7 linked regions of the Ovis aries genome follow. The protein of the gene in region 1 interacts with the protein of each later gene in a pairwise test. Links are inferred from orthologs where the notes say so. Each region holds a gene or a part of one and is shown on either strand. Other genes may lie near its edges. The genes, in order: CEP70, ZBTB16, G patch domain-containing protein 4, RHPN1, ABT1, ARHGEF3 and ATOSB.

What was found.
Region 2: the proteins of CEP70 (region 1) and ZBTB16 interact in binary tests that used the Homo sapiens proteins (3 or more experiments, as listed by UniProt). The two-hybrid records come from large-scale screens. The link is inferred for Ovis aries from reciprocal best matches to the Homo sapiens genes CEP70 and ZBTB16.
Region 3: the proteins of CEP70 (region 1) and G patch domain-containing protein 4 interact in binary tests that used the Homo sapiens proteins (3 or more experiments, as listed by UniProt). The two-hybrid records come from large-scale screens. The link is inferred for Ovis aries from reciprocal best matches to the Homo sapiens genes CEP70 and GPATCH4.
Region 4: the proteins of CEP70 (region 1) and RHPN1 interact in binary tests that used the Homo sapiens proteins (3 or more experiments, as listed by UniProt). The two-hybrid records come from large-scale screens. The link is inferred for Ovis aries from reciprocal best matches to the Homo sapiens genes CEP70 and RHPN1.
Region 5: the proteins of CEP70 (region 1) and ABT1 interact in a two-hybrid assay, tested with the Homo sapiens proteins (2 studies listed by BioGRID and IntAct). The two-hybrid records come from large-scale screens. The link is inferred for Ovis aries from reciprocal best matches to the Homo sapiens genes CEP70 and ABT1.
Region 6: the proteins of CEP70 (region 1) and ARHGEF3 interact in binary tests that used the Homo sapiens proteins (3 or more experiments, as listed by UniProt). The link is inferred for Ovis aries from reciprocal best matches to the Homo sapiens genes CEP70 and ARHGEF3.
Region 7: the proteins of CEP70 (region 1) and ATOSB interact in binary tests that used the Homo sapiens proteins (3 or more experiments, as listed by UniProt). The link is inferred for Ovis aries from reciprocal best matches to the Homo sapiens genes CEP70 and ATOSB.

What each region holds. Positions count from the first base shown.
Region 1 is NC_056054.1:251,194,813-251,198,720, reverse strand, and holds part of CEP70 (centrosomal protein of 70 kDa), read right to left. Parts: intron 3,801-3,908; coding exon 3,620-3,800; intron 1-3,619.
Region 2 is NC_056068.1:24,499,577-24,503,484, forward strand, and holds part of ZBTB16 (zinc finger and BTB domain-containing protein 16), read left to right. Parts: intron 1-1,748; coding exon 1,749-1,978; 3' UTR 1,979-3,908. UniProt on the Homo sapiens protein: Acts as a transcriptional repressor. Transcriptional repression may be mediated through recruitment of histone deacetylases to target promoters. May play a role in myeloid maturation and in the development and/or maintenance of other differentiated tissues.
Region 3 is NC_056054.1:106,565,370-106,569,960, reverse strand, and holds the start of G patch domain-containing protein 4, read left to right. Parts: upstream 1-1,689; 5' UTR 1,690-1,763; intron 1,764-3,670; 5' UTR 3,671-3,728; coding exon 3,729-3,807; intron 3,808-4,265; coding exon 4,266-4,339; intron 4,340-4,446; coding exon 4,447-4,539; intron 4,540-4,591.
Region 4 is NC_056062.1:14,224,021-14,228,686, forward strand, and holds the start of RHPN1 (rhophilin-1), read right to left. Parts: upstream 2,905-4,666; 5' UTR 2,799-2,904; coding exon 2,721-2,798; intron 1-2,720. UniProt on the Homo sapiens protein: Has no enzymatic activity. May serve as a target for Rho, and interact with some cytoskeletal component upon Rho binding or relay a Rho signal to other molecules.
Region 5 is NC_056073.1:30,523,995-30,528,702, reverse strand, and holds the start of ABT1 (activator of basal transcription 1), read left to right. Parts: upstream 1-1,812; 5' UTR 1,813-2,949; exon of another isoform or gene 2,950-4,229; 5' UTR 4,230-4,708.
Region 6 is NC_056072.1:44,413,419-44,417,326, reverse strand, and holds part of ARHGEF3 (rho guanine nucleotide exchange factor 3), read right to left. Parts: intron 3,228-3,908; coding exon 3,041-3,227; intron 821-3,040; coding exon 468-820; 3' UTR 1-467. UniProt on the Homo sapiens protein: Acts as a guanine nucleotide exchange factor (GEF) for RhoA and RhoB GTPases.
Region 7 is NC_056055.1:53,360,606-53,365,061, forward strand, and holds the start of ATOSB (atos homolog protein B), read left to right. Parts: upstream 1-1,430; 5' UTR 1,431-1,547; intron 1,548-1,921; exon of another isoform or gene 1,922-2,062; intron 2,063-3,649; exon of another isoform or gene 3,650-3,780; intron 3,781-4,456. UniProt on the Homo sapiens protein: Transcription regulator that may syncronize transcriptional and translational programs.

The sequences.
Region 1 (3,908 bases):
GGTATTAGATCCAAGAGACTGGGGACCCCTGAGCTACAGAGCTTCATATTTCTACATGTCCTATATCTGAGATGAAGGTCAAAATCAAATGCATAGAGAAATATGTCCAAAATCCCCCTCCCCACAGAGACAGTTTAGAATATACTGTTGATAAGGAACGCTACCTAACAAAGCAAACCTAAAAACGTAAATGCTAGATCTTATTGACTGATAAATAACAGAAACAGGCTTGGCCAAAGAATGATTAGTATCTTCTCTGGAGCTATGAACACCAACAGGTCCAACACTGCTGGCCCCAAGCTGGCAGGCTAAATGAGGGCAGAACACCAACTGCCTGCAGCTTCATACCAGGAATTCTTAGTATCTCGCGCTGTTTCTCTCTGATCCCTGAAATTTAACTTATCACATCCTTCCAATGCTGCTAGCATAAACTGAGGGGACAGCCAGACCCTGCCTAAGGAGTACTGTCCCTTTAGGCAGCTAAACACCTTGTATGCAACAGGTACACATAATGCTGTGCCAACAGAAAACATTTATAATGATATACTGTTTCTAATCTGTAATGTCTTACACAACTATTGATTTTTCCTACAAAAGATTTCTTTCTTTCAACTACAATAAACACCCAAGTTTTAAAAGAGGTTTTTAAAATTAGGAATTAAATATTCAATGTTATAACATTGCTATTTCAATAAAAACTAAAAAATTTATAATCAATAATTCAAATATCTATTGAGCATCTACAACTAATAATAAAGCAGACATTTTCTCAGCCCTAGACAAAACAGACAAAAATATCAGCCCTCATGGAGCTTGCATTCTAACACAGAGATATACAAACAAAGTGTATAGTATATCAGCATGTTAGATGGTGGTAAGAATTATGGATAAAACAAAGCAGGGAAGGCCAGATGATATGTTGGGGGATAGGACTGCCAACTGTAAGTGAAGCAGTCAAAAAAGGAATCCCGGAGAGATGGTGATGTGACACTTGAGTAAGCAGAGAGGAAACAAACCACGCAGCTAAAAAACCACGCATGGTAGCGGGAAAAAGAACAAAATATACAAAGTCCCTGAGGTGAGAATGTTCAAGGAAAATGTTCAAAGAAAATCAAGAATGCCAGTGTGACTGGAATAGAATATGCAAGAGGTGCAACACAGGGACAATCATGCAAGATCATGGTAAAGAGTTTTGGATTTTTCCCTTAAAAAAAAGAAAAAGTGAAGTTAGAGGGTGCTACAATGTTGAGAGCACATTGAAAAAGGCAAGGCTTGGAGTAGGGAAACCAAGAAAGACACAAGAAAGAAATGAAAGTAACTTGGACCAGAGTGGAGACTAAAAGACAAAAGTTTGGGGAAGAAATCCAGGTATGGTTTTGGACATGTTAAAAAGTTCTACATGCCTAATTAGCCATCCAATAGAGATATCAAGTAGGATGCAGGATGTGAGTATGCAATTAAGGGAAGAAGCCTGTGCCACAGATTTAAAAGTACTATGACTTAGACTGAGCATCACCAAAGAAGTTAGAATTTATAGGAAAAAGAAAGGTCGGAGAAGGCAATGGCAGCCCACTCCAGTACTCTTGCCTGGAAAATCCCACGGACGGAGGAGTCTGATAGGCTGCAGTCCATGGGGCGGCTAAGAGTCAGACACGACTGAGCGACTTCACTTTCACTTTTCACTTTCATGCATTGGAGAAGGATGGCAACCCAATCCTTCTTGCCTGGAGAATCCCAGGGAGGGGGAGCCTGTTGGTCTGCCATCTATGGGGTCGCACAGAGTCAGACACGACTGAGCGACTCAGCAGCAGCAGCAAGGGATGAGTACAACCCAGATAACCATGACGGTGTGATCACTCACCTACAGCCAGACATCCTGGAATGTGAAGTCAAGTGGGCCTTAGAAAGCATCACTATGAACAAAGCTAGTGGAGGTGATGTAATTCCAATTCAGCTATATCAAATCCTGAAAGATGATGCTGTGAAAGTGCTGCACTCAATATGCCAACAAATTTGGAAAACTCAGCAGTGGCCACAGGACTGGAAAAGGTCAGTTTTCATTCCAATCCCAAAGAAAGGCAATGCCAAACAATGCTCAAACTACTGCACAAGCTTGCACTCATCTCACATGCTAGTTAAGTAATGCTCAAAATTCTCCAAGCCAGGCTTCAGTAATACGTGAACGGTGAACTTCCTCATGTTCAAGCTAGTTTTAGAAAAGGCAAAGGAACCAGAGATCAAATTGCCAACATCCACTGGATCATGGAAAAAGCAAGAGAGTTCCAGAAAAAACATCATTTCTGCTTTATTGACTATGCCAAAGCCTTTGACTGTGTGGATCACAATAAACTGTGGAAAATTCTGAGAGATGGGAATACCAGACCACCTGACCTGCCTCTTGAGAAACCTATATGCAGGTCAGGAAGCAACAGTTAGAACTGGACATGGAACAACAGACTGGTTCCAACTAGGAAAAGGAGTATGTCAAGGCTGTATATTGTCACCCTGCTTATTTAACTTCTATGCAGAGTACATCATGAGAAATGCTGGGCTGGAAGAAGCACAAGCTGGAAATCAAGATTGCAGGGAGAAATATTAATAACCTCAGATATGCAGATGATAACACCCTTATGGCAGAAAGTGAAGAGGAACTGAAGAGCCTCTTGATGAAAGTGAAAGAGGAGAGTGAAAAAGTTGGTTTAAAGCTTAACGTTCAGAAAACGAAGATCATGGCATCTGGTCCCATCACCTCATGGGAAATAGATGGGGAAACAGTGGAAACAGTGTCAGACTTTATTTTGGGGGGCTCCAAAATCACTGCAGATGGTGACTGCAGCCATGAAATTAAAAGACGCTTGCTCCTTGGAAGGAAAGTTATGACCAACCTAGATAGCATATGAAAAAGCAGAGACATTACTTTGCCAACAAAGGTCCGTCTAGTCAAGGTTATGGTTTTTCCAGTGCTCATGTATGGATGTGAGAGTTGGACTGTGAAAAAAGCCTGAGTGCCAAAGAATTGATGCTTTTGAACTGTGGTGTTGGAGAAGACTCTTGAGAGTCCCTTGGACTGCAAGGAGATCCAACCAGTCCAACCTAAAGGAGATCAGTCCTGGGTATTCATTGGAAAGACTGATGCTGAAGCTGAAACTCCAATACTTTGGCCACCTCATGCAAAGAATTGACTCATTAGAAAAGATCCTGATGCTGGGAGGGATTGGGGGTAGGAGGAGAAGGGGACGACAGGATAAGATGGCTAGATGGCATCATTGACTCGATGGATGAGAGTCTGAGTGAACTCCAGGAGTTGGTGATGGACAGGGAGGCCTGGCATGCTGCGATTTATGGGGTCACAAAAAGTCGGAGACGACTGAGCGACTGAACTGAAGGGATGAGTCATGGAAAATGAGAAGAATCAACAAAGGGATCAAAAAATAACCAGTGGGGTTAGAGGAAAACCAGAAGAGAAGATATTATGGAAACAGCAAAGAAAGAATTTCAAGACAATGACAATAATAGGTAAAGGAAGATAAGGATCACTGAGTTAAGCAACATGGAAGTCACCTGTAACACTGACAAGGTGTTTTAAGACTATCATGTAAGAAAATGTTTAACTCAGTACCTGTAAAGCTTTATGCTCCTTTTGAAGTTCTTTTATTTTATTCTGTTGCTGGCAAACCCTATTTACAGATTCATCCTCCATTTCACCAATTTTGGACTTCACACTCTCCATAATTTGTTCCAAGTCATTAGCTCGTTGTTCCTGATCTGCTGCTCGGCTTTGCTGTTGCTGAAGTTCATTTCTAGTAACAGACACACAATTCCTTCTCTTAGTAATAGAAACAAATCATATCAACCAACATATTCATCTAACAACATAACAACTTTCTAAAATTTTTTTGCATTCTTAA
Region 2 (3,908 bases), on another chromosome or scaffold:
GAAGTGGTCCTGATGTCCAGCGCTGCCAGAGCTGGGAGCAGTGGAAAGCTGGAGCCGGCCCCAGCCTGCTGGGGAGAGCCTCCTTTCACAAGTCTTTCCAGCATCACCCCCACGCCCCGCCCCTGTGTTCATTGTTATCACCTTATTTGCTTAAAATCAGCCACATGGGAGTATTCACAGCATGACCATCTGCAAATGCTACAAAATCAGGGCTTTGTGGAGAGCCCAGTGTTAAACACTTACCACTGGCACACTGCTGGGTTGGAGGTAGATATTTAGAAGGACTTCCTTTGAGGATAAGAAGTGGTGGAAGGCAGTGGAATGTGGCCAAACAGAAAGCTCCCCTGATCAGGGGAAATAGCTGCCTGAGCAGAGTTAGAAGGGAGAGGCGATTCCGCTGGGCTGGCGGGGAGGGTGTGAATTCCTGGGAGGGGAGGTGGATGGAGGGGCCAGTAAGCACAGGATATGTGTTGTCACAGGTCTGCGTTGGGCCACACCAAGAGGATGGGGTGGTTGTTGCTGACAACTGGAATGACCCCCAGGATTTCGCAGAGCCTCAGGGGCTTCCTTAGCCCCTTGTGGGAGATGTGACCTGGCGGGTGGATCATTAAATGCATTGGCACTGACTATCGTAAATAGCCGGTCGATAGTTAGATCACTTTGGCTGTTCATTACTTCATTATTTGCAGGGGCCTCTGCACGGTGGAGTATCGATAGTGAGATGGCTGGCCAGTTAATTACTGTATCGAAACAAGGTTCTCCTGTGTCCTCCGCTCAGCTCCAGGGGACTGTAACAGAGGGGTGGGTGGTCACAGCTAGGGTGTAGGCCACAGGCTCCCAGGGTCTCCGTCCCTCCCTATTCTAGCTCGAGAGGGGAAGTAGGGTCCAGGGCAGATTCTTCCTAGTCTTAGAGGAGGAGGCATCCCCAGGGGTAGCATGCTTGCCAGACTGGGGTCCTCTCACTCTTAGCACCCCCTGCTTCTCATCATCTGTAGCCCTGAAAGAACTCTATCCCCTTGCTTCCGTAGAAGGAGTTGTGTGCTAAAGAGCCATCCCTAAGAACTTTAGAGGCTTCGAGGGCACTTTTTTAGATTTCTGTTTTCTCTCTTAGGAAGGAGAGAGTCCACACGCTAGAGAGAGTTAACGCTTCAGTCCAGGGGCTGGAGCTGGCCCACACATGACCACTACCTCCATGTGGCTAAATTTACTGGGTTGGCCAGAAAGTTCATGCAGGGTCCCAATACCCAAGACTTCCGTTGTGACTCAGCTGGTAAAGAATCCACCTGCAGTGTGGGCAGGATTGGGTTGGGAAGATCCCCTGGAGAAAGGGAAGGCTACCCACTCCTGTATTCTGGCCTGGAGAAATCCATGGACGGTACGGTCCGTGGGGTTGCAAAGTGTCGGACACGTCTGAGTGACTTTTGCACACGCACACACGCACACAGGCACACACAATACATTAGTTATGGTGAACAAGATTAAGAGTGTAATATACTGGAAACTAACACACCATTGTAAATCAACCACACTTCAGTTAAAAACACAAAGAACATAGGGTCGCGGTCGCACAGGCCACGGTTCAGGCACTTGGGAGCTGGATGTGACTTGTGGCCGCCACGCTGGGCGGTGCACGCGGCACACGGAGAAGTGTGGGCCCAGAGGGCCTGAGCGTCCCCAGCTCGCCGGGGTGGGGCTCCTCACGGCCCCCTCCCGCCCCCTGGCCTCTCCTGACCCCCCTTCCCCCACAGGCGAGAAGCCCTTCGAGTGTAAGCTGTGCCACCAGCGCTCCCGGGACTACTCGGCCATGATCAAGCACCTGCGAACGCACAACGGCGCGTCGCCCTACCAGTGCACCATCTGCAGCGAGTACTGCCCCAGCCTGTCCTCCATGCAGAAGCACATGAAGGGCCACAAGCCCGAGGAGATCCCGCCCGACTGGAGGATAGAGAAGACGTACCTTTACCTGTGCTACGTGTGAGGCCGGCCTGAGGCCGCGGCGGGGGAGCCGGGAGCAGGAGGAGAAGCGATGGAGCTGGGTGGAGTCCAGGAGGACCGTGCAGGGCAGAAACACACACACACACACACACACACACACACACACACACACACACACACACACACACACACACACACACAACACACAGCAAGAAACAAAAAGCAAATGAAAAAAAAGGAGAAAGAGAGAAAGGAGGAAAAGGAAGTCTCGGGGCTGTCTGGCTCTGGTTCTGCCTGGGGCTCCAGGTGACCCGGATGCCTGGCCCAGCCCCTCCACCCAGGCCTCCATCCCTCCTTTCCTGGCTGGGGGTCGTTGGCCTGCTCTTTTCGGGTGGGGGTGGAGGGAGGGGGTTTGTCCAGCTCAGATGGTGGGATGTTTTTCTCTTCCCTCCACCCAGATCCTCCTTTTGTGTCCCGAAATAGAAACTAGGAAAGGGCTGCGGGGTCCTCTGGTCAGAGTCAGACCGTCCCTGCCTGCCGTGCCCACTGACTCCCCGGAAGGTCGGGGGCTGAGGGATGGGTGGGGGTGTGCAGGGGGCGGCCTGCAGAGGCTGGGGCTGGGCTGGGTCACTGGTTGATGCTCACAGTGGCAGCTCTAGTTTGCTGGGGGGCACACTGGGGTGGGGGAGGGACCCCCTCCCGCCCTTCCCACTGCTCAGTTCATCTGTTGCTTTCTTCCTCCGCCACACCCGGGAGTCCCTTCACAGTCTTTGAGGAGCCTCGGGGCTCTTGCCTGCTCCCTGGCTCCCCTTGACTCCTGTTCTCCCAGCCCCCCCATGGATCGGAGTGTCTCCTGCCTCCTCCGGCTCCCTGGTGGGGAAGCTGGGTCTGACTAGAGAACACCCCCCTCCCCGCCCGTCCCCCGCCGCCAACTTTCACCCTTTTGGTTTCTGAAAAAATGCAGACAAATTCAGTGGAATAGCCCATCCCAGTCCAGCCATCCTGAGCAAGACTCCTGCTGAGCTGCTTTTGCTTCCAAAATGGAAAAATGTAACAGCTAAATACATGCTGTCCCACCAAACGAACACAGCCCCTAGGAGGAGGGTTCGGTCCGTGAAAGGGGTCGTGGCTGGTGAAGGGACGTGATGTCCTCCAGAGGTGCCCTACACCTGGTGGGGGGTACCCCTGTCCTGGGAGGGAGTTGGGATGCCGTGCTGGGGACCCTTGGAACTCATGGGACCCCCCCAGGCCTGGTGCTCTCTGCAGGGAGACCCAGGTCCAGAGGGCTGTGCAGAATTCCTGGCTCCCAGGGGTGCCCAGGCCACCGAGAGGAGGCGTTGAAAGCGCTTTGCCTTGTGTTCCGTTTTGCTTCTGTTCTGTGTCCTCTGTTCACCTGTTAGCACATTGTACTTGAATTACCTCAGTTTTTTGTGACCTCATGAGCTTTTTTGACCCCTGTATCTCTGTTTTGGTTGGGGGTTGGAGGAATGGGGAGAGTGTTCTTTTCAGTTTCTTGTGTAAATTAATAGCTGGTTTAATAGACTTCAGCTGGCCAAGGCCCTCCCCATCCCCTCGGACGAGCCTCCCAGATGGAGGGAGCCGTGCAGAAGGAGCTGAGTACTCAGGATCTGAATGGGAGGCCGGGGCAGGAGGTGGGTGCCTGCCGGGGACGGGGCGCCGGGGACACCGCAGGACCACAGCTGGCTCTGACCAGACATGACGTCCCCAGGCCTAAAACACTCTGGAGCGAATCCCACCTTTCTTACAGTTTGCTGGGTCCTCCAGGTCTGGGGGCCTGTGTTCTTCAAATCCTTTTTCACGCGTGTGGCCCCACCTCCGTGTGCATTATCACTGCCAAAACTGGCCTCTGGTCTCTCTGCAGGGCTGGTTGGGGACAAGACGGCCCGTGTGTTGTTGCAATGGGGTGGGGGTGTTGTTTTTCTCAAAGCTACCTCTTACGTTTGTCCAGCTCT
Region 3 (4,591 bases), about 140 Mb from region 1:
TGTTTCCATTTTCCCCCCATCTATTTGCCATTAACTGATGGGACTGGATGCCATGATCTTAGTTTTCTGAATGTTCAGTTCAACAAATTATGGCCATTAGATTTTCAGAATGGCCGACAAAGAGTATGCTGAACAGAAATTGTGGGCTGAAAAGGGCCCTTGACCTATTCATGAGTTTTCAAACTTCTTTTATGACCACAGTATAATATGTAATATTAGATAGACAGGGGAGATAGAAAGGGTGGAATATTGAAACGGTGGAAATAAAATCAAGTTTGTAAAGATGATTGTACTAGTCCAACATTCTAATTTTATAGACCAGTGAAAGGTTGCTCTCGAGCAGGAAAAGGACTCAGATCTGACTGCCATTCACGAAACGCTCCTCTATTGAATCCAACCTCTGAACAGTATATTTGAAGCATTCCACATCACTTATGAAAGCATCTACAAGCCCACTAATCAAGATCCATTGTTTAACGTATTGTTCCCATGTAGCATATTTTAAAAGTAAAACTAATTTCATGTTTAAAAAAACATACTGGAATGAGGTAGTATGACATACTGAACAATTGTGACAAAGCTTGAGTGAAATGGCAGCTTTTCTCTTTGAAGATCCTAGGGGGCGCTAAGTTACCGTAAATATTAATGTGAAAGTGAAAGTGAAGTCGCTCAGTCGTGTCCGACTCTTTGAGACCCCAAGGACTGTAGCCTACCAGGCTCCTCTGTACATGGGATTTTCCAGGCAATAGTCCTGGAGTGGATTGCCATTTCCTTCTCCAGGGGATCTTCCCAACCCAGGGATAGAACCCGGGTCTCCCGCATTGTAGACAGACGCTTTCCCGTCTGAGCCAGGGAAGTCCAAATATTGACACAGGGATGCAAATAAGGGAAAACTTTTTTCTTTTTCCCTTCCGATTTTAGTTCCTGGGTGGCTCAGTGGACCCTAAGAACACTGTGGGGATGAGAGGATGTGCAACCTCTCTTGCTGACTTCTTTGCAATATGTTCTTTCCCTCTCCTGCTCAATGGATTCTCATACTTATAAGGCAAGTCTGAACTCCTCAACCTATTATGCATTCCGGGATTTTGCCTCTCCAGTCCCACTCGAGCTTCCAGCTTTGCTTGGGCTAGACAAAGTGCTTCTCGAAGTCAGGGCTCGTGTCTTACGCATCTTTGTATCACCAGTACCAAAGAAGAACAGGTCCTGGCACACAGTGGTGAATCAAAATGTGTTTGATGAACGTATTGAAACCTCTTACCTCTAGGATTTTATTTAAAAAAAAAAAAAAAACAAACTGTCCCTGCAAGCTGAGTATTCATCCCTTGAATTATTAATCACCTCAGAGGTACTACCTCCTTCTCTGCCTCCACGAATCTCTCAGGCCACTCTCGATGCTTTCACCTAAAATTTTCCTTTCTCGTATTTGTGCCTAGGACTAGTCAATGTTGGACCCAAAGCTATTCTCCGAACCCCGATAGAGTCAGGTAGGACTGAAGTCACTTAGCTGCTCAGGGCCTGCTGGGAGGCAATAAGTAGAATACCTCTCGAATCTCCAGAAATGGGCTAGCTCTGGGGCGGAGTTTCTATGGCAACCATACCGCAAGCCGGCCTCTCAGTTTCTCCGGGGACCACAGAGACTCAGTTCCAGCGTACATCTCTATGGTTTCCACAGCCTAGAAGGGTCGAAACAGCACTTCCGGGAAGATGGCTGCGCACAAGTCACGTTTGTCACATGTTTCTGCGGAGAGGATCTCGCAATGACGGTAAGGGGCTACAGTCCCCCGAATGGTGACTGTCATAGCCCGGGCTCAGGGGCAAATGTGACAGAAAGAGAATAGTTTTACTCAAGTGAAGCTGCGGTCGGAGGGCTGGAGTTTTAACCTCCACAGGAAGGAACCCTAGGGAAAGGAGCCAGCTCTTCAGAACCTCTGTAAGAATGGTAGCCCAGGGTCCCTTCTCCAGAAAACTCACGTTGACTGGAAAGAAGACAGTTCCTGAAAGTGTGCTCACAGCCTTCGCAAAGACTGCGAGCACAGCCTGGTATCTAGCTTCTGTCCACAGTTAGCTGTTCTAGGTCGGTTAAGGAAATTCCCACCTGTGTCATTCAGTTCAACAATTAAGGACTGAACGCATTCAGGAGCTGCATTAAGTGCATCAGGGGTTTGGGAATAAGACTAAGCATAGGCTGTGGTATATAATATAATTTCAAATTAATGCGACAAGGCATAGGCTGTGTAAGTCTTAGAGTGTAAAGCGTAAATGGCTATGAGCCTGTGAGTAGTGATTGAGAACACCAGTTCTGGAGTGCCTGAGATCCTAGATCCGCTACTTAACCAGCTATTTGATTTGTGCAAGTAGCTAAACTTTTCAGTGCCATTTCTTCAGTTGTAAGTTACAGTAAAAACACCTCCAGGGAATTCCCTGGTGGTCCAGTGGTTGGGACTCTGTACCTTCACTGCGGAGGGCTGGAGTTCAGTCCGTGGTTGGGGAACTAAGATCCTGCAAGGAACCCGGGGCAGCCAAAACAAAAACCCAAAACACCTCCCTGTGGGGTTGTTGGAAGGATTAAATGAGATAATATGTGTGAAACAATTAGCAACATGCTGGCATGTGGAAGGCTGAGTATAGAATTTGGGTTTTGGTATCAATGGCAGGTCCTAAAACAAGTCCCCCGCTGATAACTGAGGGATGACCGTAGTTGGGAATATAATAGAAGCCGGGCTACTATACAGTCATGCATCCTGGGCTCATATTTCCAGCTACATCCCTTACCAGCTATATAAGAAACCAGGCAAGAAACCGAGACTTTATTTTTCTCCTCTATAAAATAATATCTGTCTTACAGAACTGTTAGGGTTAAATGAGACAGTATAATAGTATGTGTAATCCTCCTGTTAAATATAAGAGCGCCTTTCCAAGCTGGACAGTTTCAAAAAGGGTGCTCCAACAAGACTGAAAGACAGTGGTGGTGAAGCCCCCACAGTGTAAATGCTGGGGCACAGGTATAGGATACAGGCTTTATTAAGCACTGCTGTCTTATAACTGGAGGAGGAGATGGCAGCCTACTCCAGTATTCTTGCTGGGAGAACCCCATGGGCAGAGGAACCTGGCGGGCTACAGACCAAAGGGTCACAAAGAATCACACAACTGAGCACAGACAGATATCACTCAGGTTAACAAACATCTCATTGCTTTGCTTTGTTTTTAACATGGTAATAAATCATGGGAGATATTGTCAGGTAGCGGTAAAGAGTGGGAATTCTGCAGACCAGCTGCCTGAGTGTGAATTCTACATGCATCAGCTGTGTGACCTTGAGCAAGTCACCTAACCTCTTTAGGCTTTAGTTTCCTCATTTGAACAAAAGGATAGTAATACCTTCCTGAATGCAAAGTTTAGGAAATCTTCCTGGACTGGGACGGTTACATGAAATGATCCATGCAAAGTCTTAGCAAAGCCCAGCGTGTGGTGAGCTCTCCATAAATTTAGGTATTATTGTTAATACTGGTCCTCCTTGACTTTCAGCATGTTGACCTCTCAGTGGTCAGGGAGCTCCCTAAGGACCAGGCCTCCCAGCTTGATCTCTGTTCCAGCTCCAGGAAAGAATTCTTATAAGAGCGGTTAGGATGGATTTGGTACATGATCTGAGCACTTTCTCCCTTCCTCTTAAAGGGATGACAGTGACTGCTGCTTCTCCAGTGAGAGCCTGAAGACAGTGACTTTTCTCACCATGAGTATCACCCCCGAGGTCAAGAGTCGGGGGATGAAATTTGCTGAGGAGCAGTTGCTAAAGCATGGATGGACTCAAGGTGATTCCCAGGGGGCCCCTTCCACATCCCCCAACTCCCTCACTACCCTCTGCCCAGGGGAGAGGCATTATCCTGGATTAACCTCTCTGTAGTCTGTTCAACGGAAGAGGAAAAGTTAAAGAGAAAATTTGCAGAAGAAAATTCAGCAATTTCCAGACATTTCCAGAAAAGGGAAGAAATATGACTGTGGATAGTGAGAAGGAAGTGGCTGAGAGAACTGGGAGTGGGAAAGAGATGACCTCTGTCCTGAGAGAATTATGGGAAAAGAGAGTTTGGGCTCAAAGACATGAAGACCGTATGGAGAGGGAGTAGGAAGAGTGGAACTGGGAGGGTTTCTGAGAGGGACAGGGCACGCTCAGTGCTAGGTGTGTGGAATGACAAGGGCATGTGCCAGGGTTGCTTTGTGAGGGCTTAGGGCAGGCAGTGGAATAAGCCAGGTCATTCGCTGTCTTCTGCAGGCAAAGGCCTGGGCCGGAAGGAGAATGGTATCACCCAGGCCCTCAGGGTGACGCTGAAGCAGGACACTTATGGGGTAAGACTGGACAGACTGCGGGAGGTCAGTGGGGATGGGAGATGGGGGCCTTGAAGATAGGGTGAGGGAGGGGATTGACAAGCCCTGAGTTCACACTTCTCTGGCAGGTGGGACACGACCCTGCCAAGGAGTTCACAAATCACTGGTGGAATGATCTGTTCAACAAGACTGCAGCCAACTTGGTGGTGGAAACTAGGCAGGTATAAGCTCTAATAGCAGGCATGTAACACACGAGGGCCTGGACACATGGGG
Region 4 (4,666 bases), on another chromosome or scaffold:
CTGGAGACCCGCCAGGAGACGGTCAGTTGCTCCCCGCATCCTCCTGCGCTTCCGAATTCCTTCTATAACCTCCATGACCCGTCCTGCCCATGCAAATGCCGGACTGCACACGTTTAGGTGGAGGGGACGACCAGCCAGCTCCTGCCAGGGCACTGATGGAGAGCAGCCTGCCTGCAGGGTGCGGGGTCTCCTCTGGGCCACCCTTACTGTGGCTGGGCTCCATCCCAGTTGGCCGCTTATTGCGGCAAATGCCCAAACCACAGGCCCCAAGGGTCACTCCGCTCACAGGCAGAGGGCCAGGCCTTCTGACAGCCCCATCTGAGGTGCCTCAGTGTGGCTTCTGCCCTGAACACGGGCAATCCTGCCAGCCTGCCCGTGTCCCGGGCCCCAGGCAGAGAGCCCTGCAGCAGGTTCAGAGGGTGAGAGGTTTCCTCTGTGAGGGGAGGGGCTTTCAGGGCCCCAGTGGGACTGGTGCTGCTGTGGCCATTTAGGGACCTCCCGGCCTGGTCAGTCACCAGCCCAAGAGTTGGGAAGGACTTCTCAGAATGTTCTTCCTTGGACCATGTCCTCAGGCTCAAGTGGTCTCCTGGCCCTGGAACAGAACAGGGAAGAGGACACAGTGCCTCCCAGGACCCCACCCTGAAAGCACAGGCGTGCAGGGCTAATGCAGCCTCTCTGCAGTGGCCGCTGTCTTGAACAAATCTGAGGAAATACGTCCCCACTGCTACACACAGAGCAGTCCCCGCCTTCTGGGGGCTATAGGTTATCCCAGCCCCAAGCAGGAGGCACCCTAAAGAAGGCCTTACTCTCTTGCACAGACAAGACTCATGGCACATGACCACCTTGGATTATGGCCCAACATTTCCTCCACATTCCAGTGTTCTCAGGAGGGATCAATCAGGGAAGACTTCCTGCAGGAGGAAGCATTCTTCTGGGACTTCCAAGTGGTCCTGAGGTAACTGGGGAGAGGGGACTTATCCCCATTGAACAATGGGGGAGACAGAGCAACCACCCTGGATGACTGCCTGCTGGGGGACTCTGGACAGGTCCTCGTCTGTAGACAGAGAGGGGGCTGGTGTCAAGGTGGCATCAGGCAGGAAGAAGGCAAAACACGGCTCTCCTCTCTCCGCTCTGCTGGTTGAGTATCTGTCTTCGCACTGGCCTTCACCTCTTCTCCATGGTACCTCCCATACCCACTTGGTGCAGAAGGGAATGAGAAGAGGATACAGGCAGTCGCCCTTCCAGGAGGCCTGAGAATCCGGAGCAGGGGGCAGGCCATAGCTGAAGCTCTACTCTTCTCCCTCTGAAGGTCCAACTGCACAGCTCCAGCCTAAGGTTCTGAGTGAGCAGCAAGGCTGTCTGCCTGGGGAGGGGCGCTCCATGCACTGGGGAGAGGCTGCCAGCCCCGAGGGACTGTCCCGTCAACACAGCTCATCAGGTGTCCGATGTCACGTGCCCCCGGAGAGATGTGCTTGAAGGCGGGAGACCATAGTTCCCTCTGAGGCCTGCAGCCAGCACCCCTCATGGTCTCGTGACCCCAGCGCTCCCTCCAGGACGCAGGCTGGCTGCATGACTTGGCGGGAAGTGCGACTGTGGCCCAGTTTGCAGTGCTGGGTGGCGCTCACCCCCATTTCCACACTGGGTGGTGAAGGGGTCTGCCAGCTCGTGCATGTGTGGAAGAACCCCCACCTGATGGAGAAGAGCAGCGAGCCTCTCCCACGCCCTCCCTGCTCCAGCCCTGGCAGCACTGGTCTAATGGATCCCCCAGAAGCCCAGGAGGAAATGGCAGAGGCAGTGGCCAGAACTGGCTAAGTGTGCCAGGAACTAGGCCAGCGCAGGCCTGGTAACAGACTGCAAGATGGTTGGTGGGGCCAGGCCTCACACCCTCCCTGGTGCAGGTGCAGCTACGCTTGGCGGCACCGGCCTGAAAACTCTCGCGTGTGTGGATGCCCAAGGCCTGGCATAAACCCTGGGAAGCCTTTCAGTGACTCCCAGGGAACAGCCAGGCTCCCGGGCTGCAAGGTGAGGCAACCAGAGCACGAATCCTCCCCAGACACAGACTCACATGTCTCCACCCTCCTCCCTTGCACAGCTTTTCAGTCCTGGAAACAGTCCACAGTCCACAGCCCCCGCGGGATCAGGGGTTTCAGGAAGGGACAGAGGTGCGGGGAAGTGAGGCGGGAGAAACCACCTGCTGGGAAATCCTCCAGCCATTTCCTGTACCCGGGTGCATCAGCCACCTGTTGCTAAAAGTTCCATCAAACACAGAGCTGGGTGGCCAGGGCACAGCTGAACAGCCCTAGGAGAGAGGGAACAGCTAGGAAAGGGGGAATGACATGCCAGGAACAGACACGAAGGCCACGGGCTGTCACTGACCAGAGTCCAGCGCCTGCCAGAGATGAGGGTCCTGGAGTGTTGTTCCCAGAAACCACAAGCTGGACTTGCGCTCCGACCTGCTCCGGTCGACGCAGGAGGCGTCCCCCAAACGCACTAGACAGGAGTCCAGCGGCCGGGCTCTGGCTCCGCACGGGGCCCCAGTTCCCCACCGTTAAGCCCACCTTACGCGACGTTTCGCCCCGGAGTCCAGCGGCGCGAGAAACCAGTGCCGATCCCGCAGCCGAGCGCTCGCCCGCGGCAGCGGGCAACAGGAGCGGCCGGGTTTGGGAACCCACCTCCCGGCGCCCCCCGGCCGCCGGCCGCCGGCCGCCGAGCGCTCCCACCTTGCGGATGGGGCCCGCTTGCAGCCGGGCGCTCTCCTCGCCGGCTCCCGGGCCGTCCGATCTGTCCTCGGGGACCATCGCCGCCCGCTGCTCGGGCCGCGTCCGCCTGGAGGCCGTCGCCAGCGCAGGGACCCCCGGAGCAACGGACTCCTCACTGCCCTCTCCTGGGGGTGGCGGCCCCGCCGGCAGGAGGGGCGGGGCGCAGGCCGCCGAGCGTGCGAAACTTCCCGCTGCCCAATCGGCGGCCGCGGCGACTCCGACGGACAGCAGCGCTGGCCAACCAGAGCGTGAGGGAGGTGGTTCTCGAAGCCAGGCCCTGCCCACTCGTGTCCGCGGAGCCCCAGGGGAATGCGGTCGCCCCTGGCAACCGCCGGCCGGCGGAAAAGGGAGAAACAAGGCGCCGCGCACAGCCCAGGGGCAGCCGGGGTTCCACCCGCCGGGCGGCGGGGCCTCCGCAGGGCTAGTCCGAAGAAAACACCCGCGATGGCTTGTTAACGGATTTCCTGGCACGAGCGCCCGTGCAGCCCTTAAGGTCCGCTTTTCTGTCTCCGCTCGGGGACCCAGACTCTGGCCTGGTGGCCCCAGTGCGGTGCCGTCCATTGTCACACTTCCAGAAACCGCTTCCAGAACCTTCCTCCGGAACCTGCCTCTGGAGCCCACACTCCAGAACCCCCCTCGGCAACCTGCTTCCAGAATCATCTTACTTTCACCACCTACATCTAGAACTGACTTACCTCCCGGGACCAGCCTGCCTCCAGAACCGAACTCTCCCTAACCTGCTCTCCCTGCAGAGTTACCCCAGGCCCTTAATAATTTCTCTAGTTATGGCAACTCTGGAACGCACTCAGATTTCATGTGGGGCTCACCTCACCGAAGAGCAGGGGCAGGAACACCAGAGCATATGCAGTAGCCATAGCAAATCTTCAAGTTCTGATAAATTTCCAGCCTTGTCCATAGTAACCATCTCCCCAGGGTCCCTGCCATGCCTCGGTGCAGAGCCCTGGGCCCCTCCCCAAATGGCCAAGCCAGAGCCTGGCTTTCCCCAGAGCTAAATCCTGTAAGCTAAGCTCTTTGGCTAACCCTGGCCATCTGAAACAATAGTAACAGAAAAATAAGGTAATTGTTAACTCCGAGGAAAATAAAATGTAACACAGAATATGACCTGACTTAGCTGTGTATTTCAGGTTGTCCTGGCAGCTTGACCATAGAGGACCATGATAAGGAGTTTCTGTTAGGAGGAGGAGAGAGGGGAAGGGTGAAGAAGTGGGTGAGAGAAGCTGAAGCTTCATCCTGCTGAGGGGGAAGTCAGCAGATAAGGCCTCAGTTAGAAAGCAGAATTCCAGGTGCAGAAGCATGAGGTCCGGGACTCCCCTGGTGGCGCAGTGGCTAGGAACCCATCTGCCTATGCGGAGGACACAGGTTTGATCCCTGGTCCAGGAAGATGCCACATACCATGAAGCAACTAAGCACCACAAGTACTGAAGCCCGCGTGATCCAGAGCCTGTGTTCCATTACAAGAAAAGTCACTTCAAGGAGAAAGACGTGTCTGGCAAGGAAGAATAACTCCCACTAGTACAACCAGAGAAAGCCTGCACAAAGCAACAGAGACCCAGCACAGCCAAAAATAAATGAAGAGATAAGTAAAGAAATAAAAACCTCCAGTTACAGATGCTTGTTCTTTGGAACTGTGGGATTCAACACCAAATCTGCCGCTCAGAGTTATAAGCGGTCACCCCTGGGGAGGCGGTGGGGCCCCGGAGGAGGTTCCTTCTTGGTTCAGCAGGTTTTAGAGACCTGAGGCTGGTAAAGCTCCAAACCTTCTATAACAAAGTAACCCCAAAACTTGTGTTTTGAAGAATGGATGTCTAGTAATTGACAACAAAAAGCATCCAAAATAAAAGGAAACCATTGGAAACGAAGAGATACTTCTAAATAAGGTGTGAATT
Region 5 (4,708 bases), on another chromosome or scaffold:
AGCGGCCTCGAGTTTGATGAAGGGACCGCTTTCAAGGCCTCGCCATAGTTGGGAACTGCCAGGGCCGAGTCCGTTCTAGCGGGTTGTTCAGCTGATGGAGGTGAAAAAGGAAAGAAGCAGGTTGCTCTGACTGGACTGACTCCATTTTTAAAAGAAAAGGAACTCCATCTTACACCCTCGGCGAACTTTTGGACTGTATATCTGGGAGGCCATGGAGATAAAATACCAGCACACGAACAGGCCTCCCGGGCGGACAAAAACCCAGACCAGGCAGACCCCGTACCTAGACCTCCCCGAGCCAGAAGGAATGCAATGTCCACTATCTAATCAATCACTATCTGTAATCTTAATAATATTTATTGATGTGGGCTTTAGAATGTGAATTTATGGCTAAAACCTGACTGTATCTCTTACTAAGGTTGTCCAGAGCCAGTTTGGGTATGTGAGCTTGGGCCCATACACTTTGGGCACAATAGATTGTCACAAAACTCGGTCGGGGTCCCTGGCTAAAGAGGAAACTCTGCCTCGGACCGCGAGTGTAATAAACTGCAATCCACTATTCACGCTATCCTTCTGAGTGAGTTTGTTTCCCGGAGCTTTTGGCTACATTTCATGCGTTGGCCGGGAAACTCCTCACTGTGAGAGACAAGTCCCATTTGGGGCTACTCCGACGCTTCGCGGCTCTGATCTTCTAGACGGGGTTAAGGCGCCTCGTCCTTCTGTAAAGATTCCACTTCCCCACGCCGGGATCTTTCACGTTAGTGGGTAGTGGACTGGGGCAGGGGAGTTAAGCGCTCACGTAAGGAGATTCCCACCCTGCGGGGTGGAAGAGGGGGCCTGATCAACCCCCTGGGAGGGAATAGGGGACACATTGCTTCTGCTGCTGCTGCTAAGTCGCGTCAGTCGTGTCCGACTCTGTGCGACCCCGTAGACGGAAGCCCACCAGGCTCCTCTGTCCCTGGGATTCTTCAGGCAAGAACACTGGAGTAGATTGCCATTTTCTTCTCCAATGCATGAAAGTGAAAAGTGAAAGTGAAGTCGCTTAGTTGTGTCCGACTCTTAGCGACCCCATGGAGGGGACACACTGACCGTCAAAGTCATAAAGGAGGTGGTGTCCGCGTCGTCTTGGGGTAAATTATTACCAGGCGATTGCGAGAGGGCTTTGGGAAGAAGAAACTTGGTCTTTGTGTGCTTATATTCTGCCCTCCCCGAGGAGGTGTCCCATCTGCTGTGGAATTCATCCCCTCAGGGTTGTCAGGCTTAAAGAAGGAAGATACGCGAGTGAAAACAATTTGACCTTTCCCGAGACCGTCTGGGACGTGGGATATTTAATCCATCTATGTTTTCATCCGCACCCAATCAAGCCCACCAAGGCAGAACGGACTTTCAAAGTGAGAGGAGAAAATAATCTTGGACCACTTGGTGTTCTGGTTCGGCACTGCGGACCTGCAGATGAAGACTCGCCAATTCCCCTTCTAGCAGGAAGGCTCTCCTCACCCCAATTAAGAAGGAGGCGGAATGGCAATATGTGTTTCATTGAGTAGAAATATCAAGAAGTACTTAGGATACCGAGAACTTCGTGGACAGAACGAAAAGGGAAGGAAGAAGAAGGTCCGAGAATGTAAGCTAGATGGGAGGAAGTGAATCTAAGGCAACTGTATTGGAGTGCATGATTAAGAATTTTAAGAAGGAATTTGAAGAAGATTATGGGGTGAACATGACGCCTAACCGATTCCGCATATTCTGTGAGGTTGAACGGCCCTCTATGGGAGTAGGATGGCCACCAGAGGGCACCATGGACTTAAAAACAATAAAAGCGGTCTGCGGTAGTCACCGGAACGCCGGGGCAGCCGGATCAATACCCATATACTGATTCTTGGCTGTGGTTGGCTCGAGATCCTCCCCCTTGGGCAAGACTCTGCATTCAAAAAGAGAGAGGGAAAACATTAATGGCACAAAAATCGACTGATGACAAAAAAGAAATTCTGCAGGATCCGGACGGGAGTGATTTGCCCTCTCTCCCATACTGGATGACGCGCCGGCCACCTAATGCTCACCAGGACCGGAGGCCGCCTTAATGACCACCGATCCAGGGCCTGCTGGGGCTCCACCAGCTGCTCCTGGGCCAACTCCCCCGGAGATCGTAGAACCGCCATTTCGGCAGGCTCCGATCCCGGCGGTAGGAACCTCTAGTCAACGTCCACAGGACTCAGCCTCAGCCGAACCTCCTAAAAAGTATCAGCCTCTCCCGGTGAGTACTGACGGAAAGGGGGAAGGAGACACAGGAATTCGACAGAGGCTGCGCTCCGCCAAAGAGCCGGGGTAAACAAATGCCTCGCAGAGAGCTACAACAGAGTGCAACAGCTCCGGTTCAGGGAGCAGACAGACACTACCACCAGCCTCCCCGAGCCTACTATTACCAACCATTTTCCTCTGTGGACCTACTAAACTGGCAGAAACCCAAGGCATGATCAGGCTGATGGAGACTATTTTTCGAACCTACCATCTTACGTGGGAGGACATAATCCAGCTGCTAGTTTCCCTCTTCAGCACTGAAAAAAGACACAGGATCCATACTGAGGCTAGAAAATGGCTACAAGAAGTGGCCCCCGAGTGTACTGTAAACCCACAGCGGTGGGCAGAACTAGCCAACCCTGATGAAAGGCCCGATTGGGACTATAACACAGAGGCAGGAAGGGGCCACCTTGAGAGATATAGGACGGCTATTTTACAAGGTCTCAAGAGGGCTGCCGTAAGTCTATAAATATGGCAAAACCAACCGAAGTAGTCCAAAAGGAAACTGAAACACCTACTGAGTTATATGAAAGACTATGCAAGACCTATAGACTTTATACACCAATAGATCCAGAGGCAGCTTGGTCTCAAATTGTGATAAATACAGCCTTTGTATCTCAAGCCTACCCTGATATCAGACGCAAGCTCCAAAAGGTAGGCAGAGTATTAGCCATGACCAGCACACAAATAATTGAGATTGCTAATAAAGTGTTCAAAAACAGAGACGTGGAGGCAAAAAAGAAGGCTGAGAAAAAACGGAGAGAAGAAAACAAGAGAGCAGATCAGAGGATGGTGTTACTGGCTGAGGCCTTGGGAAGGCCCCTCCTTGGGCCTTCCTCAATACCTCCACCCCCTCTAAATCAGCCTTGGTCTCCTGGCAAGCCTCCTATAAGGAAGCCCAGGATCGCCCTGCAACCAAATCAATGTGCCCATGCCGGGGCTTCAGCCACTGGAAAAATGAATGCCTTCAGAACAGCTGGGAAAAATAACTGGCATTGATTGTTTTAGGGCTGGCTGAACTGGAGGCTGAATAGGGGTGCCGGGGCTCAAAGACACAAGGTCCCCAAGAGCCCATGGTAAAACTAAAAGTGGAGAACCAAATTATTGACTTTATGGTGAATACTGGAGCAGAAATGTTAGTGGTGACCGAACCGGTGACCCCCCAGAGAAGGCCATTGCTGCAGGAGTAACCAGGGAAAAGCTGATTAGACTATTCTGTCTACCCCCAAAATGCCAGATTGGGGTGGGGGGGGCATCAAGTGACTTATGAATTCCTGTATATTCCTTAATGCCCAGTACCTCTTTGTGGAGACTTGTCATCTAAATTGGGTGCACAAGTGACCTTTCTCTCCAAGAAAGACCCGCTCTCGACCAGCTGTTTACTCTCCCTTTTGGTAACCCCTCAAGATGAATGAAGATTGCATGATCCTTTGGAAGGGAAGCCAGATGGGTTAAACAATCCAAAGAGAGAGCTGATCCAACAATTCCCTGAGGTTTGGGCGAAAGATACACCCCCACCCCGCCCCTGCCTGGGCTTGCCAAACATCAAGCTCCCGTGGTAAGAGAACTCAAACCTGGTGCCATACCAGTCAGGAAATGTCAGTACCCGCTAGCACTGGAGGCCCGAGTTGGTATCCTGCCACATATAAATAGGTTACAGCAGGTGGGCATCATGATTGAATGCCAGTCAGCCTGGAACACACCAATCCTGCCAGTTAAGAAGGAAAGGGGACAGGACTACAGGCCTGTACAGTACCTCAGACTGGTCAATCAAGCAGCGGTAACTCTACACTCCACTGCTGCTAACCTATATACCTTACTCAGCCTCCTCCCACCGAGTGCTAAGATCTATACTTGCCTGTATCTAAAAGACACATTCTTTTATATCCATATTGCTCCGGTATCTGAACCTATTTTTGTCTTTGAATGGGAAGATCCTGCAGGGAGCACCAAACAACAGCTCACTTGGACTTGCCTCCCGCAAGGATTTAAGAATTCCCTGATCATTCTCGGGGAAGCCTTGGCTTCCGATCTGGACTCATTCCAGCCAGGAAGGTTTAGATACTGGCTGCTACAATACGTGGATGACCTGCTGTTGGCTGCAGAGAATAAAGAACACTGCTGGGAAGGAACTAAGGCTTTGCTAGAACTGTTGATGGAGGCGGGCTACCGAGTTTTGAGGAAAAAGCCACAGATCTACAAGATGGAGGTAAGATATTTGGGGTTTGTCCTGAGAGGGGGCAAAAGACTGTTGGACCAATCCAGGAATGCAGTAATCCTGAGAATCCCACGACCAAAAACCTGCATAGGTCCCAGAATTTTGGGGAGCCACTGGGTTTTGTAGAATTTTGATCCCAGGATACTCTCAGATGGCCTAGCCCTTGTATGAACTCCTAACAGGGCCAGAAGGGGA
Region 6 (3,908 bases), on another chromosome or scaffold:
CCCGGTTTCCTTCAAACACCATAATGATTACACAGGTAACTTCCTCATGCCCTGTTTGCAAGGCCCTTGAAAATTCATGCCTTTAGCTACTCTGTCAAAGAGCTAGAAAAGTACTAGAGAAATGAGGAAGGATCCTTTAAAAGTAATCTATATGAAACAGCAGATTAGAGGCTGTTTTCTATTTTTTAAAATCCAGCAGGACCAGTGAAAATATTGATAACTTGTTCAAGTACATATCCACCCATCCAGACACTTGGGAAAAACAACACAGGGTAACAGTTGCCACAGATTCCAGCTGACACAAATTGGCAGTTACAGTACAAGAGACAAAAAAGTACAGACAGAAGAGACTGGGTCAACACAGTCACAAAAGTGTGAAAAAGTGCTTCTCCAAACCGTTCCACATGTGGAATGCAAATACTGTACAGGTAAGACACAGGGCGACTTCCAGGAAGCACACGCTTCTGTCAGACGTTGCTTTCAACATGCCTGCTGTTCCCACAGGAAGAGTCTGTCTGTTCCATGCGCTCACAGTCGAGGCTGACCTCACTCGTGTCCATGCTACAATCCGATTCACTGTCTGATTGGTCCATCTGCTCAAGTTTTGTTTCTCCCTGTGGTTCCCTGCTCCCGGTGGCGGGATCTAGGAATGGTCCCTCAGAATCAAGGACCGTAGCCTGCCCCGTGGCACACAGAACTGTTTCTTTGGCTTGGCGAATACAGTTGAGCCACTGCTGTTTGTTGAATGTGTCATTGGCTTGTAATGAGTGGGTCTGACTTTGCGATCCATTTTTGAAACTCACTCTGAAGAAGTTTTTAACTAGAAAAAAAAACACACAAAAAAGGTCAGTGGGCAGATATTTCCGCAGGTCAAAGATAACCTATGTGGTGACACTCACCCTGGTATTCAGGGCGAGATCACTCACTGATTACTAAATGTCCTACTATTTCAGGACATGGCTCGGCTCCACCCTGCAGCCTCCATCAACCAACAGGTGTTGACACAGGTCTGGCACTCAGTGGCCTTCCAAAGCTATCAAATCAGTACAGAACAACTCTGTCTGGGACCCTGGAGTACTGGGTACCAAACCTGGCCATATATCAAAATCTCCAAACAACATGGTAAAAATACAGATCCTGGGGTCCTCCCCTTAGGGATTTGGATTCAACAGATCTGGAGTCGGGGAGGGAGGGGGAGCTGATAATCTGTCATTTTAACAACTGCCCCAAGCTAAAGCTTTTTCAAGTTCAAGACGCTCTTTGTAACATCAAACAAGTCCAAGATCCTCCACACGATAGTACCTGTGTATTTAGTATCCGATGACTGAGAAGACATGTAAAGATAGAATTCTTTTGTGTTTTTTTTTGCTGCACTGGGTCTTCACTGTAGTACACAGGCCTCTCTAGTTGTTAAATGTGGGCTTCAGGGTGCATGGGCTCAGTAGCTGAAGCACGCGTGGGCTTAGCTGCAATATGTGGGATCTCAGTTCCCGGACCAGGGATCGAATCCGCGCCCCCTGCACTGGGAACTCGGAACCTTACCCACTGGACCATCAGGGAAGTCCCAAGATACAGACAGAACTCTTAAAAGTTTGGATTCATTTTAAAATGAAATGACATTCTAATAACTGCCAACAGGAGTGATATGCATTTGTTTCTTTAAAATTTTTATTTATTTATATATATTTCTGTCCATGCCATGCCATGTGGCTTGTGGGATCTTAGTTCTCCAAACAGGGGTTGAACCCAGGCCCTCAGAAGTGAAAGCATGTAGTCCTAACCATTGGACTGCGAGGGAAATCCTGGAGCTATGTGCATTTAAAAAATGATGGTGCGCAATATGGAAGACATTTGATTTAATTTAATAACAACATTAACTGGCATTTCATGGGCCCCACGAGTCACATGTATGTGGTTCATGGACGTGTCTGAGCTCAGTCAGTCCAGTCCCCCTGTAAGATCCTTGAGGTCAACAGACTGGCTTCAGATAAATTCAAGCTCCACTCTTTTCTGTGAGGCAAATGCCTTGACTCCTCTACATTTCAGTTTATTTGTAAAATGGGGAAAACAAAGAGATTCAACCTTAGATAGTTATTATGAGGGATAAACATAATAACATATGTAAATGCTCCTACATTGCTATTGGAGAAATGTAAGTACTACTACTGCTACCAGTACTACCACTAGGGCAGAGGGGCTGGTGTGGAGGTAAGAGGCAGCGTATATTAACTACTTGGACAACATGACAGCAATATTAACCCAACAGGCTCAAATGTTACTTGCTCAAAGACGACTTCCCTGATCATTTCATCTTAAACAGATCTCCTATTGCTATTCTCTGTCTCCTTAATGGGTTTTAGTGTTTTGTTTTTTTTTTTAAAAAAACACACCCAGAATATTTAGTTATTTCTCATCTATTTTCTCCATCACAAGGTAAATTCCACAGGGCTCCCCAAAATTGACCTTTGTGGTAGACCAATGTATACCAGTGCCTGGCACAGTGTTTGACACATAGAAGACCCTAGATAGACACTGCTATCTAAGCTTCTCTTGGTTAATTCCTTTGTTTACTAAATCTCAAGTCAGAGAAGCCCATTCAAGTAATTACAGATAAACCCTCAGCCCAGTTGACCATAGTTGTGCCTCTTTAGACACAAGTCAGCTATGTGAACTCCCACTGTTAAGTGGCTGCAGTCACATAGGGACAGTCTGGTCTTAAGAAGGCTTTTATCCAGTGGAAGCAGTCAGAGAAAGGGAGCATAGGGGGCACCGGTCATGCTGGACAGAGGTCAACTCACAGTGTTTCACTTAATCCTTAGAACAATCATATGAAGCAGGCATGCATGCATCCCCACTTTGCAGATGGGAAACTAAGGCTCCTAGAGGTTGAGTAAGGTTCCACAACCTCTAAGTGATGAAACACAACTGAGATGCAATTTGACTCCAAGGCCATGGCTTGTCTCTTTCACCAGCCGGCCATTCCCTGCAAACCACCACTACCAAAGACATTCCACAGGTCAAGAGGGACAGCCATCCGTACTTCTCTCATTGTTGCTGAACGCCCCGCGCAGGGAGCCCCCCAGCCTCACTTCCCCATCCTGCAAGTCTTCCAGCAGGAGGTCCTTCATGGGGATAGGCTGCCGGTACAGCTGGTAGCAGAGCTGCTCATTGTGGGTAACGGCGCGGGTGATAACAAGCACTTCTTGGAAGAGGAAGACATGTAGTTTCTGGAAGAAAAGAATACACAGGATTCCCTTAAGCAATAATCTAAGGAGTTGATAAGTAGACCTCTGGGGATAACAGGTCTCTGGGTACCAGTTTCAAACTGACCTATGAACTGCTCAGCTCAAATCTACCTCCAGGAGAACACCAGTTGGGGGTTGGAGGCATTTCCAGATGCATCCATTGCCTGTCCTGTAAGGGCACCTCCCTAGGGCCCCAGTGAAGAAGGCCTTTCTGCCTACAGATACCTGCTTTCAGGTCTGCCAGCTCCAGGGGTGTTCACAAGTCACAACACATGCAGGCACACGTGGTTTCTAGCACTTTTATTACAGGAATATTAAAAAAGAAATAGAAACCCCATAGAACAAAGGGTGTAATGGAGGAAAAAAAAAATCAGTCCTTTCCTGGCTTTAGTTTATTATATCCAGTACAATTCTAAGAGATCAAAATGAGCAACAGTCCATAAAGGATGAGACTGGTATATCTGAGCCTAATATTAATCTTTGCTTCTCAAACCCGTAAAACACTCATTCATTCCACCACAGAGCTGATTATCAGCTTCACCCAGGTACCCTGGCTCGGAACACTGCCCATTCCTGAGGAAACCAGAGTATGCAGCTGTAGCCATGAAGAGAGACGATCAAAGCAGTTGTCCTTCTTGGTAAAGTTCATAAGAACCTCAGTTC
Region 7 (4,456 bases), on another chromosome or scaffold:
ATCTTCACAAATTTTCTGTAAATCTAAAATTATTCTAAAATGAAAAGTTTATTTTTAGGGATTTTCCTGGTGGTCCAGTGGTTGCCCTTAGCCTTTCAATGCAAGGGGTGTGGGTTGGATCCCTGGTGGGGAGCTAAGATTCTGATGCCTCCCACCAAAACATCGAAAACATAAAACAAAAACAATATTATAACAAATTCAATGAAGACTTTTAAAATGATCCCGATAATAAAAAACCTTTTTAAAAATTTATTTTTTTAATCTAGTAATTTACCCAAATTTAGCTAGTAATCAAGTAATTTGCCCAATACAGCTAGTATAGTGTCCTTACCAAACCAAATGACTTCAAATTTGAGCTTTTTCCATGACACAAAACTCTTCCAATTTTACCCTCTATAAGGGGACGACAGAGGATGAGATGGCTGGATGGCATCATCGACTCAATGCATGTGAGTCTGAGTGAACTCCGGGAGTTGGTGATGGACAGGGAGGCCTGGCGTGCTGCGATTCACCGGGTCGCAAAGAGTCGGACACGACTGAGCAACTGAACTGAACTGAGCATTACAGAAGTATTAGAAAGACAATCTGAGCAGTTCCGTAAGAGCAGAACATTTTTTTCTTTTTCTGTTTTCATTTTGCCTAGCGCACCATTGGTGTTTAGTAAAGCCGCTTCTTAACTACTCACAGAAAGAAAGTCACAGAGATCTAAAGAATCTGAGACTTTGAGATAACTTTACCAGGTCCAGTCCATCACACAGCCATCAATACCTCCGACTCCATCGAGAAGCTCACTAGGCTCTGGGCTCAGAGCCACTCGGCTCTGCAAGGGACCTGGGATGCCATCTACCGGTGGCTCGTAAGCGTCGCTCTCCCCTGGACATATCTTGGGAACTCGTGGGGCTCCCGGGAAGTTGAAGACTCAAGCGCTAATTAAATTACAGAACGTGTGTAACAGTCATACAGGTTCAGTCGACTGAACAAAGCAAAGGCTCTACTTTGGCTCATAAAATTCACAGACTTCTCGCCGACCTACCTCCACAGCTATAGACCTAACTCTTACTGCCTGTCTCCTACACGCCGTAGGCTACAGAAAGTGCTCTTCCTCACAGACTTGAGACCCCGGCCAACCAGATTCCCGCATTTTCACAGAATTCTGAAGCTCTTTGCACTACTTTGCAAACCCTACAGATCTCCCCCATTAGGGCAAATACGCGCGCTAACCCAGATGCCTTCACTAAGAGGCTCAAGTTCCGCAGGCAGCTCACACCAGCTCGAAAGCCTGGGATGGCTCCAACCTGGTTCGGGCGCCCACAAGCAAGCGCTTTGGCGCAGGTTCTGGCTCCCCATCTCCGGCCGGATCCGGTCAGCCCAGGCCGCACACTGCGGACTGAGGCCCCGCCCCTTTAGACCTGTCATCACAGAAGCCGCACGTGGCCGGGGTGGGCCCTCAGGCGACCTGCAGCCATCACTTTGTCTCCTCCGCCATCCACTGGGGCCACCGCCGCCAATCAAAACCAGCGGTTCCGGGCTGCAGCGCCAGCGCCGGGGTGAGGCCAGCCAGAGAAGGGGCGGGGGGAGGAGAGGCTCCGAGATGGGAGGGGGCTAGCAGTGGAAGCGAGCCTGGCACCGGTTCTGCCAGCCTGGAATCCGAGGGGGCGGATCCTAGTGAAAGGCGAAGACCAGAAGGGGGCGGGGATCAAGGATGGGGCGGGGACCGGGGTGGGACGAAAGACAAGCAGAGGTTCTCTGTGGAGACGCCAAGAAGACGAGAAGGGGAGGAGCCAGAAAGGGGCAGGACCTGAATTACAGGGGAGGAGCCCCAGGAATTAAAGAATCTAGGAAAGGGGACGAGCCAGGGGAAGGTGGGAGGTGGGACAACGGAGAGGGTGGGTCGTGTCGTTGCGGGGGCGGGGCTCGGACCAAAGGGGCGAGGTTTGCAGGCCGAGGCTGCAGCTAGGGCAGCTATGTAACTGCTCCAATCCACTACCTCCCCAGTTGCAACGGGACTCGCGGAACTACAGGTGTGGGGCGGGTGCGCGTGGAAGAATGGACAAGTACGGGGGTGCGCTTGGGTAGACGTGAAGCGGGAGGATCATGTCAGGGAAGGAAAAGATCTGGAGAAATGCTGGGGTGGGGATGGAGTAAAACAGCTGGAGGAGGAGGAGGGGGGCTCACTGGGCTAAGAGGTGCTTTCTCCGGTACCCCTTGTGGGGGAAGGGCGGGAGTGCTTTGTGAGGCTGGGAAGTACAATGTGAGGGGGTGAGGTGAAGTGAAGGGTTGGAGATGATACTTGAGGGGGAGGGGATATGAAGGCGCTTTAGGGGAAAGTGGAGGGGGCGTTGTGTGATGGAGATCGGCTAGTGGTCCAGAGTGTGGGAGGGACTGTGTGGAGGAAGAAGGTGTGGGGGCTGTGGGCACTGTGTGAGGGGAAGGGGTTACAGGCCCCAGATGAGGAGGGGAGAACCCCTAGTGCCTTGAGAAAGTCTGGAGGCTTTGTAGAGACTCCAGGAAGAGGTTTTTGTACAGTGTCTCAGGGATGAGGGTGATGGGATTACTCGGGTGAAGAAGCCAGTCTGCAGTGTTCCTGGCTCCTCAGCTCCTAACTCCACCTTCAGGCCTGAGCACTCAGAGAGGATGCAGGCCCCACTTGCTACTAGAGCTTGTGTGACTGTCTCAGTCAGCTTTGGATCTGTCTGGCTGAGACTGGGATATTTTTCCCTTAGCTGGTGTCCCTGGGGACCCTTCCCCCCTTAGGTTCTGGGTACCCCTCACTGTAGTTCCTGTTCCTCCTAGAAGCTTGCCTTAGTCCCTGTCTTTCCCCTCCTCCCCCAGTTTGCCCTGCCCTTATGCTCTGGGTGTGCTCATTTCCCACTTCCTTCCTCGCCTGGGGCCTGGCCTGGTCCTTGCCTGTCTAGGAGCTGTGCCCTGCCCCAGACTTTGTACTCAGTGGCCAGAGACCTAGGTAACCAGCAGCAAGGCCCAGACCTCACCCTCACTGCTACCAAGGTCTCTCCCCACAGCCCCCCAAGTGAGTGGTAGATACCTTTTTACCACTTGCCACAAACTGATTTCTGCACACTTTTCCTTCTCCTGGGTAGGGAACCCTAATTCCCTCAAAAACTCTGGGCTTCTGTGGGAGAGGGAAATGGTCAGAAGTACTGAGGGTCTGCGATGCATGCTTTGAGAGGTCAGCCACTATTGTTGGCTGAACTGGGAAGGGAGGTTCCAGTTTCCACTGGGGGAGGGACAGGGAATGGCTCCCCACCCTCCTGGGTTGGAATCTGACTATCTGAACCAGACTAGGGCCTAGTCTCTGATTCCCTGAGGCGACTTGATTTAGCGCCAGACTTCTTTTTGCCCCTGGGCAGGCTGCAAGAGGGTGAGAAAGCCCTGCTTTCCACACCGTGGCTGAATGAGAGTGACAGTGTTGCTGAAAGGGGCCCCAAGCCAGTCTCCTCTGGCTGAGAGACTGGCTGGGGAGGGAGGGGGTGCCAAAGCCAGACAAAGCCGTGGGGTAGGGTGGGGTAAAGAAGGGCAGGCTGAAGCCTTTTGAGGAGGAGCTGATTGCTATGGCAACACAGCTTCCCAGATTGTCTCTCAGAGAGGCGGGCTTAGGGCGGACTCACTCCAGCTTCCTCAAGATTGTGGCATTTGTTTGAGTGGGTGGGGCATGAAGAGAAAGGGCATTGGTTTGCTATGCAGGGGCTGGAGTATATAGACTTTCTACTTCCTTACAAGCAGCAGAGCATCCAGATGCTTGGACCCATCCTCTGAAAATGGGTAAGAGTGAACAATAGCCATTAGGATTATAGCAGTATAAGGTCAGAGTTCTAGAGGCCTCAGTGGTAACTGTGTATACAAACTCATTTTACAGATTTGGAAATTAAGAAAGAAGAGACTGATATTTTCTCCAGGTCTCATAGTGAAAGACCAGGCATTGGGACCCAGGTCTTCTGAATACTCTTCACTCAGCCCAGGGGTCAATGTTTCGTTGAGCCAACATTTATTGAGCACCTATTATGTGCCAGGCACTGATACTGATTCTGGGAGTACTAGCATGAATACAACAGAGTTGCAGCTCTCATGGAGCTTGTATTCTAACCCAGGGAGAAAGAAATGTGTGTGTGGCTGCAGAGGGAGAGAAAGGAGAGGGAGGGGGAAAGAGGAAGAGAAGTGCCAGCTGGTGATAACTGCTATGAAGAAAAATAAAGCAGAGTAAGAATTTAGGGCAGCTAGGTAAAGCCTCTTGATTGTACAACGCTGCTTGCTCTCCCAGAGCACACTGAGGCCTAGGACGTCTTTGATCCTTCCCCCTGAACTACTGCCCCTAGACTTTTGCAGATGACTAAGGTCTGGGCCTATGGTCTTGGCAGTTAGATAGAACACGGTGGGGTCACCAAGGGGTTACTTCTTTCCTACAGTGTTGTATGTCTACCTGTCTTCCCAGTAAGCTTTT